Linked DNA regions of Neodiprion lecontei. The protein of the gene in region 2 purifies or fractionates together with the protein of the main gene of each other region. This does not show direct contact. Links are inferred from orthologs where the notes say so. Each region holds a gene or a part of one and is shown on either strand. Other genes may lie near its edges. The genes, in order: lysosomal aspartic protease, transmembrane protein 192 and lysosome-associated membrane glycoprotein 1.

The links.
Region 1: the proteins of transmembrane protein 192 (region 2) and lysosomal aspartic protease purify together in Homo sapiens (affinity purification with western blotting; 3 studies listed by BioGRID, with this or other methods). This does not show direct contact. The link is inferred for Neodiprion lecontei from reciprocal best matches to the Homo sapiens genes TMEM192 and CTSD.
Region 3: the proteins of transmembrane protein 192 (region 2) and lysosome-associated membrane glycoprotein 1 purify together in Homo sapiens (affinity purification with mass spectrometry; 3 studies listed by BioGRID and IntAct, with this or other methods). This does not show direct contact. The link is inferred for Neodiprion lecontei from reciprocal best matches to the Homo sapiens genes TMEM192 and LAMP1.

Annotation. Positions count from the first base shown.
Region 1 is NC_060264.1:27,422,957-27,427,630, reverse strand, and holds the start of lysosomal aspartic protease, read left to right. Parts: upstream 1-1,128; 5' UTR 1,129-1,297; coding exon 1,298-1,359; intron 1,360-2,651; coding exon 2,652-2,896; intron 2,897-3,285; coding exon 3,286-3,404; intron 3,405-3,540; coding exon 3,541-3,740; intron 3,741-3,906; coding exon 3,907-4,029; intron 4,030-4,674. Other genes in the region: cathepsin D, read left to right, coding at 75-167, 406-555. UniProt on the Homo sapiens protein: Acid protease active in intracellular protein breakdown. Plays a role in APP processing following cleavage and activation by ADAM30 which leads to APP degradation.
Region 2 is NC_060266.1:545,891-550,564, forward strand, and holds transmembrane protein 192, read right to left. Parts: upstream 2,862-4,674; 5' UTR 2,531-2,861; coding exon 2,489-2,530; intron 2,366-2,488; coding exon 2,231-2,365; intron 2,096-2,230; coding exon 1,699-2,095; intron 1,586-1,698; coding exon 1,341-1,585; 3' UTR 588-1,340; downstream 1-587.
Region 3 is NC_060261.1:34,092,595-34,097,268, reverse strand, and holds the start of lysosome-associated membrane glycoprotein 1, read right to left. Parts: upstream 2,539-4,674; 5' UTR 2,344-2,538; coding exon 2,292-2,343; intron 829-2,291; coding exon 545-828; intron 397-544; coding exon 168-396; intron 1-167. Other genes in the region: intraflagellar transport protein 80 homolog, read left to right, coding at 3,387-3,481, 3,666-3,844, 3,903-4,013, 4,235-4,413, 4,546-4,635. UniProt on the Homo sapiens protein: Lysosomal membrane glycoprotein which plays an important role in lysosome biogenesis, lysosomal pH regulation, autophagy and cholesterol homeostasis.

The DNA.
Region 1 (4,674 bases), on a different chromosome or scaffold from region 2:
TGACAGCTAAGTTTGTGTCATAAAAATTTAATGAATGTGATTTTTTGCGTGCTGTATCACCTACACTGCATCAGGTGAACTGCAGGGAATTTGCAAAATTACCACCGATCAACTTCGTAATAGCTGAAAAGACCTTCACCATCAATTCAAAGTACTACGTTCAACATGTGAGTATACGCTATAACTTTATGAGATTTTTTTTTTGATTTTCACACCTATACCGGTCAGTAAGTACTTAAAAAACGAAAAATGACTGTATGAGCTTCATTTGTATATGATATCTAGAAAAGGAAAACTGTGAAAAGGTTAGTGTTTGTATTATTACTTATTTCACTATGAGAAATACCAAACGAAGTTTTTGAATGGAACCATCTTATTTTAATAATTTTGATTGTGACTTTCCAGCTAACATACGAAAGTTTGGAAATATGCCTATCACCATTTGTACCGAGCGATGAGAAGTTTTGGCAACTAGGCGGAGCATTTTTAATGGAATTTTATACAGAGTACAATTTTGATCACGGTCAAGTGACAATCGGAAAAACTAAATTCTAAAGACATAATATGTATAGTTGACTGAAGACTCTCAAAGACTGTGAACCTAATGGGGTTTTATATGTCGTATGGGATTGCGTGTTAAACAGCTCCCGCGGACAAAGAAATTACCAAATCGCTAACTAGGCTTCTTATGGCTCCAGCCTCACTTACCCGTCGAATACTGGTAACGAAAGTTATCCCAGGGTTGACAGTCTTTATATTTTTCCGTCAACGTACGTTTATATAAAAATAATCGCGCATAAGTTCCTTTTATAATGTTTATACAAATTTTAATTTTTCTCAAATAATGTATGTGTACCTACGGTCGAAAAATAATAAAATTTACCCGTGTGAAACATCTGCATTACGCTGTGTCACGTATCAAAGGCGAAGATCAGCAATGCAAACTTTAAATTTCCCTCCAAAGCTACGATCTATCGCTGTGTGCAATCGACTCGCTTATATCGAACGATGCGGAACATCGAGTGATTGCCTCGAAAAGAATCGAGACGGTGAATTCTCGATTGTCGGCACTGTTGCGATATCGACGTCAGAATCAGGGGTCGGGAGTCGGGAGGGAGCGGAAACAACCGATCTTCAATATTATTTGTCATCGTTTTGACGCCGACATCTACCGTTCGTCCAAGTTTTACGCACATATTAAACCGAGACTTTGTCTCCCGCGTACGCGAATTGATCCGCTGTTCCACTAGTCCACGGTGAAGTCGAATCAACGTTTTTCAACATCAACGGCGCCGATATGTGGCGAATTATTTTATGGGTGGCTGCGGCAGTTGCTCTTGTCAGCGGAGATCTAGTCAGGTAAAGCAATATTAGAATATCATTGAAAATAAGTAACGGGAATAATCTATGGCCGTTAGAAAGATATTTCAGGTCAATTTCACCTTTATTACGTATCCTGCTATATTTGTATTTTCGCAATATAATATTTCTACTCATTATCTCGTCCATTGTTAACGGGGTTTTATCTGCTACAGAGGCAATTGACTTTGTGGCTTTTTGGCACCGCCTGGCGGATATACATATATCAGTACTGCTACGAGAATACAACTTAATAGATGAAAATTTATAGCAACTGGGAACCACACTTACAAAACTCACGTGCAACTGACTCGTCATAAAATATGAATAATGCAAATGCACATATTTTGAGGATTATCGGCTTCGAATCGAAACTTGTTGCTTTTAAACAACGCATGAATAAGGATTGAGCACATCCTTTTCTGACACAGAGAGAAAAAGAGAAAGAAACGTCCGAACCAAATGATTCATTTCTAGACTGCAATTTTCCCATTGAAAAATTAACCTTTGTTCCCGTGTTCGAATAATACGAATCTCATGCAGTGCGTGTACATTAACTATTTATTATGATTGGATCGTCCCATCAAAAAAAGTTCTTTCCTTTAAACCAAACTTCAATTTATTTTAAGATATAGGCTCGAAAACTACTGAAATAAATGTAACGTGAATCTGTCATTGAGTTTTGTATTTCCCATTAATAATCGTGCTTGTCCAACGTGATTTACGAATGGATACATTATATTTATACGTACAGAGATACATATATTGTTAATACGAATACTGACTTAGCCTGATTTTTAAATCAGCTGTCCACGTTTGAGTAGATGTAACTATCCTCTGGAATTTTGTTTGCTCAATATTATCAGCCGTCGTATACATATAGAATGTATGCTTTACTTAGATTGACCTCTAGAGGTTGCACCTCGCTTTCTCTCCTGTTATCTATTACTTATGTTTCATTTTTCACTTCTGTGGAAACTGTATCGTATAAGTTAGATAATTACAGACCTCCTTGCTGAGCAGAAATGATAATACTTCACAACAGTAATATTTATTTATAAACGACGTTGTTTATTGAATCTTTGACTCTATTCCAAATCAATATAATAAAATAAAAGCACTAAAATTTCCACAAAGTTTCCTGACCTCAATATTTGCATAATTTTTAACCAAAAAACAATCTACTCAATTTTTTTTTTCGTGAATTAAGAACAAATGCAGAAGCCGAAATTTGTTCGAAAATCAGTTTTGAATGGTCATTTTCCATTGTATAATTTTTGCTCATTCAACAGAGTTCCTCTCTACAAAGCACAAAGTGCTAGAAGGAAGCTTCAATCTGTTGGTACTGAAGTGCAGCAAATCCGTTTACGGTACGGTGGTCCCACTCCTGAACCTCTGTCGAATTACTTGGATGCGCAATATTACGGCTATATAACGATTGGCAACCCACCCCAACAGTTCAGTGTCGTATTTGACACTGGCTCATCCAACCTCTGGGTGCCCTCCAAAAAATGCCACTACACAAACATAGCTTGCTGTAAGTATGCGTACGCTCTTTATTTGCATCTTGTAAACAAATAATAAATAATGACAATATTGCCAAGCTAAAGTTGAAGGTATTAGCGTGTATTTATATATATCATAAATATTTACTTGACCACCTGCCAATTAAATAGCACTGACTTTAGTTCTTACAAGTCATCGCCGCTTAGTTAAATCTTGCAATCTGATCAAATGATCTTATCAGATTTACGCCGACAACTTTATTCAGAAATTAAATCCACGCAATACCAATGATATTCATAAGTTTATAAAAAAAATTGGCTGATATCATTTCTAAAGATTAATCTGTTTCACAATCAGTTACGTTCAATACCACGTAATGAATCTTCATCATTGTTTATTTGTTTACTTGCCAAATTACAGTGCTTCACAACAAGTACGATAGCAAAAAATCAACTACCTACCAGGCAAATGGTACCAAATTTGAAATTCGCTACGGATCAGGGAGTCTCTCCGGATTTTTATCCACCGATGTGGTATCGGTGAGTATTCAACACATATTATCTATTATCATTGTCTATCATTTCCTTTTCCATACAGTGGTCTGTTTTTAGTTTGTATTGCTATATCTTATCCTCAAAAATTAATTTTTCTCGTGAATTTTTCAATATATTTCAGTTCGGAAATGTTGACGTTCAGAAACAAACGTTTGCCGAAGCCATGAGTGAGCCTGGGCTCGCATTTGTGGCGGCCAAATTTGATGGAATTTTAGGAATGGCATACCCAAGAATCTCAGTCGACGGAGTGACGCCAGTTTTCAACAACATGCTGAACCAGGGTCTCATATCTCAACCAGTTTTCAGCTTCTACTTGAACAGGTATGCCTATGTCTACAGTTGAGTAGATTTTATTCACTTATGCCTACCGAAAATATTGTATTTCACGTTTCTACCCCCAAATTCGAGTAATCCGATCCTTAAAACCTCATATTATTAACTCATTTGTTCTTCAATCTATGCATTCATTCAATTTTTTTTCCCGTAGGGATGCTTCACAGAAGCTTGGTGGCGAATTGATTCTTGGCGGTTCCGATCCCGAACATTATACTGGTGATTTCACGTACGTTCCAGTCGACCGTCAAGCCTACTGGCAATTCAAAATGGACAAGTACGTACTAATTAAAAATCATGCACGATCGCGTAATGTTTCTTTTTAGGGTCTACTTTCATCGTTGACTGACAGTAGGCATGCAAGCACTGCAAGGTTCACTTCATTACCGGCGTTCTTATGGGATCTCAATAATCAGAATAACAATTTTATCTTTACCCCTCGTTTACGTATCTTTAGTCAATGCTTTCAGGGTTGTTCCAGATTATCTACGTTATCAAAACCTGTATTTTACAGAGTGTTGAAGTGAAAAGTTTTTCCTTGTCAGGCAATAAATTACCCACACTTGTTGCGAAAAATCTATTTTAAACGATGATGTGTATTGCAATTAAATGAAAACGGGACAAAGTAATATCAGTATTCTTGAAACATTGATATTGCTTTCGCATCTGGGCGAAATATCTTCGTGAATACGTTATGTAAACTTCACTAATTTTCTAGTAGATTGAAAAATTTCCTCATTTTTCTTGATATTTTAGAATTGTAACGATCGCGATCAACTTGAGTTTGTTTATTGTATACTAAAGTGAATCGTTAAATCATTTACCTCAAGTGATGCCGTTAACGGAACGTCTGCATTTATTTTATTCATTCATAAAACGTTTTTTTTTTTTGTTTTGTAATCCAACCCTCAAAAATATGTTT
Region 2 (4,674 bases):
TGAGGCTTTAACGTTGAAACTGCAAAAACCGTATACTATATTATACGTATGTATATATACACGACCTTCAGGGATACACTGCGTATCCCTGTATAATTTTATATAGTTTGGAAACAGAGGGCGGGCTTCAGGTGAAAGGTAGTAGAGAATAACGTACTTTTGGCAATAACTTTTTCAAAGAATTTCAGAAAGACTGCGATGCAAGGTAATAAAAGAATAATAATAATAATAGTAACAACAACAACAATAATAACAATAATAATAATGATGATTGTTCCAAATATTGTAAACTAGTGATAATTTTTAGCGATATACACCTTATTAATTTTGTAATGAAATTTTTGTGGAGGAAAAAAAAAAAAAAAAAAAAAAAAACACGGCATTAATTGAAAAGTATATGTAAAATAGTATATTTGAGGTAATACCTACAAGGAATTGATTTTGGAAATAAATGTGAATAAATTAATCCTACGTCAACTTATGACAGTGACTTTGCTGTAACGCTTAGCAGAGATGTACTAACATCAAGGAACGTGAAGAGAGAACCACGGTGATCGTGTGTTTTTGAATGTAACTGGTTCGATCGATTCAAAATATAGATACGTACTTTATTAAATTGGTAAAATTTACATTCACGGCGATATCACAGTAATCTCTTATTCTCAGTATTTCATATTCTTGGGCGTTATGGCCGTAAGCGCCTTTGAAACAACATACCGTATCGATTTTGAATTACATTATTATTATTATTATCTGATCACACATAAAAAATTGTCGACTACTCGCTGTTACAAAATTTTCCACTTCAGGAACTATTCAGAAGACCTATGAAACTCGAGGCAAAGCAAGGGGAAAAAGTTACTATCATCAATTAATTCAGTTAATTGGGTAACAATTACATGTCAGGAAACCTTCACGCGACAAAAAATCTTCAGAAGAAGATAGCAGCAGAACGTTCGACACTTGCAGTTCTCATAGGAGCGGCAACGATAACTGGGAGAGGAAAAGTCGAGGATTGGTATTGACACGATCTTCTTAGAACCAACGACATGTCGAAGAAAATTTTGAAACACTCTGATGGAAATTTAACACTGCCACCACAAAATTTTTCAACGAATTCGCGACAAAGCTGAGTAAGTTCATTTACACAACAGTCGGCAACAACGTCCACTTGCTGCCGACAACTCGTTTGTCGGCAGTGAACGATCGTCGCTACAGAAGAAGTGGCGATTTTTGTGGAAAAACATTGTTTCGTTATTAGTATATAAGCAACGAAATTATATAAATTCATCAAACATCATATCATACGACCGCGCATGAAGGAAGGAACAAATTGCCAATTACGGCTCTCTGGGTCTCCGTTGGTCCGCGAGCATCATCATCCTGTGGCTGAGTTTAACATTGTGATCGCGCAAGTACCTAATCAGATCGGCTTGCTTCTCGAGTAATTCAGCCAAGTTCGATCCCTTCTGCTGACAGCCAACCTCCCCGCCACCGGCGTACGAGTCTTGGGTGAACGACGACAGCCATTCCTCACGGGTGACATCTGGTGGTGGTCTCAATCGATTGAAGCGCCTAACTCGTCCTAGAATGTGAACGCGGCCCTCCGTTAGTTATATCAATTTGATACAAGAAATGGTAGGCATCTTATTTTTTCGGTATCATCTTCGACGCAAACTAACAATCCGCCGGGCTTACTGATATAATTGACGTAGACAGGAACGATTATCGAAAGCTCCAAAGTGGTGAGAAGCAATATGTAGTTCATCGGCGTAAGCCACTCCGAAGCTCTGCAGTATTTCTCATAGTCCATTTTGTGCGTATGATGTAGGATTGTTGCGAGCAAAAGGTAAGCAACGTTCCAAAGTGAGGCGACGAAAAACGGAGCCCTTATGTGCGGGTAAGTCGACTGATAGAAGTCCAAGTAGCCGCTTATCCTCAAATGATGATGTTTCGATTTGAGAATATGATCGAGCAGCATTACCAGGAGCCAGTAGGCGCAGTGGAGATACAATAGTACGAAATATGTGTCGCATTTGTTTGATTCCTCAGGCCAGAACGAGATAAAGGCTATCCCAGTTATTTCCAAGGCAACCTAAGAATAATTAAATTCGTACGTAATGCGTATATGTCGCAAATTACTCAACTTTCGAACTTCGGTTAGGTTTTTCTACGTCACCCGAGGAGTTACAAAAGAACACCAAGAACGAGGTTATGATATTTTACTCACGCCAAATACGAGGGCGACTAAAGTGTACGGGATCGTGTCCAATTTGTGAAAGTTGTCTTCCTCCTGCGAGGTGATAACAGGTTGCAGATATTCGTCGTCGTCCATGTTCATAGAAGCGGCAAAAAATACGGCGCCCTTCAACGAACGAAAATATCATAAAGGCGATATTGAGGTTAGGGCTGGGTCGGCTTTTCCGCGAACTCGGAGAGTACGACACTAGCTGAACCATCAGCCATGATTGGTCATTGCCTCACTTACGCTTCCAGAAGTGTTCGGCCGATCACGCACGAGGCTGACCATTCCCCGACGAGCCTGGTATGTGAAGGATTTCAAGCGAAAGATCGCCCGTCTTTATCTGCCTCGCGCTCTAGCGATCGGAAGGGACTGCCACCACACGTGTGCCGATGCATTCCTCGGAGTTGCGCTAGCAATAACACGCGCCTATGATCCCCCAACGTTTGTCGCAACTGCGGGAACGTTATTGCAGCCGCGATATTACATCGCGCGAACGATAGTCTTACGACTGAAAGATCGATGATCGAACAGGGACGACGGGGGTACAGGTATCAATCAACGTTCGATGACGGATCGTCGGTCGGAACTTGAGAGATGAGATCAGATCAGCCGCGATCAGCCGTTTCCCCGATGAGTTTACAACCACTCGTGTGACAAGCCACGGACTTTGGAACCACGGAATAAGCGATTCAAGTGTCGCTCCAATCACAATGGCATCGAGAGCAGACGACGAGCATTCTCGTCAGGCGAAGCCCGCCAAAGTTCAAAATTTCAATAACATCTCATTGTAAAGGCTGATGCGCGCAGACGGCACTTGGGTTTTCGCTATTTCAAAATGATTGTACCTTTGGTTGTTCGTAGTTGTTAATGTTTTTTGTGAGTAATCGTAGTATAACAGAACAGTAGGGGTAATTAATGGTTAAAAAATAATGCACTCAAGAATGCCAAACTTATGCACTATCACGAATCGCGATGGATGACCGAGGAATAATTTTTGTCGCGTCTCCGATGTATATGCTGGGTTTTCGCTGTTTGGAAGGAAAAAAAAACAAAAAAACGGAGCGACAAGAGAAAACGGCGACAAGATGTCACCGGGGTGATCGCCAGAATATAAGGAAAACCTCAAAACTCGGCAGTGTTTCAAGTTAAAATATAGAAAATAAAACTAAAAATGAAACATCAAATCAACTGTTGTCAGATAAATCCTACCCAAGCACGTTACTCCGAAAGGACTTTTATTACGCTACGAATCCTGACCGCATTTTCGCGTTAAATCGTATAAGTCGATGGGGTTAAATTCCGCTTTCCTCTGCGACGATGCAACATTTCTCCGAACACTCGTCGTCATCGGTGCAACGAGGTGTAATTGATGCAGCCCAGGAAACGAACGACCGTATCCGAGGCTCGGATACGTCGGAGCGAGATTACCGAAAGAGCAAGGAGGACGGCTGTCAGCGGCAACCGTCCCGGGGCTGCAAATTGTCGAACGAATGGTATTTCATAACTTGTAAACGGACCAATGCCCGAGAGACTTCCGTTCAGACCTGGGAGCCGTGGAAGCGCAGCACCTGCGTTTCCAAGTGCAATCAGCTTAGAAAATCGACTCGTACCTCAGCGACCGGTGAAGACGTAGATTTCCAAGTTTTTCGGGAGAAAAAATGGTTCCTTGACGCCGGCGCGTGTTGCGAGCTGTGCACGAATCAAGGAATGAACCGTCGTAGTTGCGGAAACGGAACTTTGTATGCTGGGGAAATTCACGTCAACGCCTATCCCAATTCCTCCATCGGCGACCCGGCGGCAGGGGCACCGAACGACGGTTACAACCGACTTTCGGAATTGAAATACCGCTCAGGTAACGAAGTACGGGATCGAGGTAAAATCCCCGAGGATAAAAGCCCGATCACCCGGAAGAATATCGGCTGCGGAATTTGCGAGGCTATACAAGACCGACTGTTCGCGGACGTGGCTCTACAAGTTGTCGTTTGTTCGAAAAGAGATGCCAACACTGTCACTGTGGAACCTGCGGAGGGTGCTAAAACACCATCGAAGAAGTCGTCGGATAAAGGTGTCTCGGGACAAATGGGGGCAAAACGTACCGAAACTTCGAAGGCGAAGAAAACGGTCGTAGTTAAAAAACGAAGTAATATCGGTTCGAGTAAAAGGAGACCTTCGGTAAAAAGCAGCGCCACGAAGAAAAAGAAAGTTCGTAAGGTGCTGCAGGGAAAGAAACTGACAGACGGAAAGAGCAGCACGAATTCTACGAAGGTATCGGGTAATGAAGGCGGCGTTAAGAATGATCTGCACGTTACTACGCCTCCGGTTCCAGGGCTCCGAAGGATCTGCGTAGATGTCATGACGGATGACGACCTCTCGAAACATGATCGTATACTTTGCGCTCACGTCAGGCCTGTCGCATCGCTAACAAATGT
Region 3 (4,674 bases), on a different chromosome or scaffold from region 2:
AATCAGTAAACAGCTATTATAAATCGTATGATTTTGACCTACCTGTAACATTTTTCCACATTATTGATGTAAATTTTGTTGCCTTTAAAGTCTCAATATCTATCAATAAGAAACTAAATTTATCTCTCCTAAACGTATGAATAGACAGAAAAAGATAACCAACTCACTGGTAAGGTAGGGAAAGTTTTCAGGTGCAAGATCTACTTGCAAATCGTGAAGACTATATTGATTTTTTGTTATATTCTTTCTGAAATGAAGGGTCAGATTATTTTGAGTGGTACTGTTGGGAGTTGTGAGCCATGAAATCGTAATATTCTGTTCAATGTCTTTTGAAGCACCGCATACGCCTTTGACTTGAGTTTCATTAACAGGTAGATCCAGTACAAGAAAGTCACTCTGTAAAAATATAATTTACGTATTATAGACAAATTGTAGTAAGGATTAGGTTGAAAGAATAATTTCATCATAACACATGGTCTACTGATCTGTGAATACTATGCTTCATTTTGATCAATATCTGTTTCTATCTGAGATTAGCACAGACCTTGTGATCGGTTGTGATGTATGTAACATTAAACTGAACAGCCATCTTTACTATAATACAAGTTTCGTTAGTCTCATTGACGATCCATTTTCCTATTTCTGGAGTTGGCACAGGTGTAGGTGTGGTCGTTGGTGTAGGCATAACTGAAGTTGTTTCGGTTGGAATTGGTGTAACCGATGATGAGAAAATTGTAGTTCCATTGGTAGGTTGATTTGTGTTTTCAGTAGAGCTGGCCACGAGGCTGTTCGTGTCAATAGAACTACTTGTTGGAACAGTTTCTGCACCTGAGAAAATTAAAACTGAATTGAGTTACAAATAAGTATGGGTTTTTTCTGTGACTGATTTGTGTTCAATTTTACCTAACTTACATATCTTTACCTTATAAAATTTTGTTGTAAGAAATACAGGTTGAGGATCGTTTATTTTATAGTAAAACATACATACTTTGTCAATAAAATGCAGATTATGAACAATCAAATTGTTGGTAGTTGAATGTTGGCTGGGATTTATATGTCTGTTGTGGTCTTTAGTCATCATTTATTTTCAAGAATGGCTTGACCTTTAGAGGCCGACCTGACTCTTTTTGGAACCAGCATAACTACGAGACTCCACGGGAGGTATTAACTATTTACATACATAAAACATGCCTCTAAAAAATATCGAATTTCAAGAGAAAAATACCAGTCCTCTAAAGGTTAAGAAAGGATTCATTTCATCTTGCAAATAAGAACTGACTATGTATACTGGCCTGTTGAGAGCAGAATAGCTCGCTCTTTGTTTTAGAGGATTCAATATCACTAAGGAAGTTCTGGTTTCACATATTGCTATCACTTGTTTCAGATAAGCAACTGACTTGACTCACAGTGTATAATGTACTGTACTTAATGACCTGAAGTATTAATATGAAATTGTTTATGTAGATATGCATGTAATGCGTGCATAAAAAAATGTGATGAATAAATAGCTTTATCCATAATTCATTGGGATGTTTTCAAGACATAAGTCAACAGTATCCATTATATTTACATTGAAGGTTATCATATTGTAAGTATATCCACTGTTAACAGTGAAATTTGATCTGCAGACCTCACAGTGTCTCTCAACCAGACTTTCAAATACTTAAATTTGTGTAAGCATACTTTTGATATTGGATTGTTCTTTCGATTTGAAACCGATTTGGACTGTCCTTAGACTTCAGGGTATAGTTAATATCTTATTGTTCAAAACTGATTGGGCAAACATCATACAATAAAAAATATCATGCTCCAACTTGGAAAAGATAAATACTATTAATCACATCAGACATTTTAAAATGTTGAAGTAAATATTCTCTTTGTTAATGATCGATTTATGTGAAAAGGAGATTAACAAACTAATTCAGCATTCTGCCAAAGTTGAGGGGAAAAAAGTTATTTGTAATCTTGAATACGTAAAGAATTGATATTGAGCAAAGATGTGTAGCAATATTCAGATTAGCAGAAGTTGACAATGTTGTTTTTCCAAAGAAATATTTTAAACAAGACGGAGTAAAGTACAGTCATATAGATGGACATAGCTCTGAATCAGTATTCAGAGATTGGAAATTAGTAATTGTACAAGATGGCATAAATTCATCACGGCTAACTCTTGTGTGAGCTGTCACATCAAACAATAATGCAACGTCACGAAACGATAACATCGATCATCTGCCATTGCAAGGATTTGTAAAGAACTCGGAAATCCTTCTGAAATAAAATTCCGACATTACCTGAATGCAGTACTGCCACCGAGCAGAGAAGAAACAAGGCGGTTTGGAACATTTCTAAATACAACGATAATAAATTTCCAGGAACTATTTACTTCAGCACTGATATTCACTCGAATATCTTATAAAATGCAAATCTCAAACAATGCGGAACTTTCCGAACAAGTTCAACCATAGGTACTCGAATGGCGTAAACTCGGTAAACTGCAAAATAAAGTTGACTATGAAGAAAAAACCAGTCTCCACAGCTTACGGATTTATGTCCCCAAACTGATCAGTTTTTACTGTAGTATATACATATAGGTATGTGACTAATAACGGCTGTGACGATCGTTCCAGGCCTGTGACGTCCTAACGAACACTGTCGGACACGTCCAACAGTTAGACTCCGAAATATGTCGTGAAATTACATAGACGCACAATCTGTAGTTTTCCGTTGTTAGCTAAATTTTTATAGACAGCAAAATGCTGCTGTAGTATTTTGACTAATAGGAATGCCAATTCGGCAGAGAAGCGCTACCCTAGAGTCGGCCTTACAGACCTGACTTTAGCGTTACCCACTAATCTAATAGAGATCTGTGGCATTATTACGCATTCTGATTGTTTGACTACATTTTGCAACCCAATCAGAATGCTTAGGTGGTGGAAAATGTGGAAAATGAACATCCGTAATAAGCACCCAGATATGCGTGGAATGCTAATTATTTATTTTCTTGGCATTCCTATTAGTCAAGAACTAGGCAGCTAAATACATGCGTTACTGTTACTTGCGTGGATCAGAGCATAAACCATGCACGCATTGTACAAAAAATTCAAGTTTTCTCATTAAATCGAGTTTATTATGTCAATAAATTTCGTGACGTCACTAACTGGCGGCAGTAAGCTGTCGCGCGATTTCGTAACGCGGTTGCCAGTACTTGCAGTACTGCCAGTATATTTTGGAATACACCCACTGTGAAGTTGGTTGTCATGACAACGTACCCGCGTAATGGCAACGCAACGTTGAAAATTACAATTAACTGAAACGTCAAAGATCGCAATACTTACACTTTGCCTCATTCTGTCATTTTGGTCACGGGTGAGATATTATCCAGAGCAATGCGATTTAAAATATCATTACGAAATACCAATGGACATAAAGGTTTAGTCACGTGTGTAGCTTGGAACTCTACTGAAGAAATATATTCTTGTGGGTATGCATACAAACACACAGTCCAAAACGACGTTTTATTTTCCATTGTGAATGTACTTATTCATGTATATAATATATTCCCAAACGCAAATACATACACACGTGCATACATTCCCTATTAAAAATAATATAGTTTTTCAAATTCAGACAAAGTACCATTTTAACATATTTCCACAAACTTGCAGTGAAGACCATATCTTGTTATGCTGGCGACTGGAAGGTGGCACAGTGCATTCATCAATAATTACAACTTTTCCATCTGAATTCTGCCCAACGGATATGCAATGGCATCCTCGGCCTATGCAGCCGAGTATGTCTTCAAAAAAGCAATCTTTCGATATCCTCTTAATTACAACAGCTGATGGTAATGCAACTATCTTCAATAGACTTAATTGTAGAATAAAAGTTAATTCTGTTGACAGGTAAATTTCATTTGATTAACAAAAATGGACGAATAGAGAAAAGCGTCGAGGCTCACAAGGGAGCTACACTCGTCGGCCAATGGAACAACGACGGTTCTGCCTTGATGACGAGTAAGGTCACTTACAAATTCAAGTATACAAAATGATTCAGTGAGAATAAAATATTCAGTGACTTTGTTTTTGTTAACTTCAAACTGCACACGTTTTTAATAGGACTGCCATATCTAAGATAATCGTTTGCTTAAATCACTGAAACAGCCGGGCACACAATGTTTTCTGTAACAATAGTCCTATGCGTAGTTCTAAAACTTATCCTCAATAATGAATTACAGCAGGAGAAGATGGGCTTGTGAAGATATGGTCACGCAGCGGTATGCTTCGATCTACAGTGGCTAGAGGCAGACAACCAGCTTTAAGTGCTGCATGGAGTCCGGACTGTTCTTCAATTCTATATGCACTGGGTGCGCACCTCTTGGTTCAATTTTTCAACACAAATGCTAAACCTCATAAGGTAGTGCTTCTATTACTAGTGGTTCTATTACTAACCACTATAAACTGTTTGGAGTCAGCTGCGGCCACAGTAGGGTATATTCTCAGTTGAGTACTAAATAATTGAATGGGCATTTCTTAAATTTACTGATAGTGGCATGGACATGATGGACTGATTCTAGCTGTTGCATGGAGCCACAAACACGGGCTTATAGTATCTGCTGGTGAAGACTGTCGATATAAGGTAATTATATTAAAATTATGCAAGTAGGTTTCATGTATA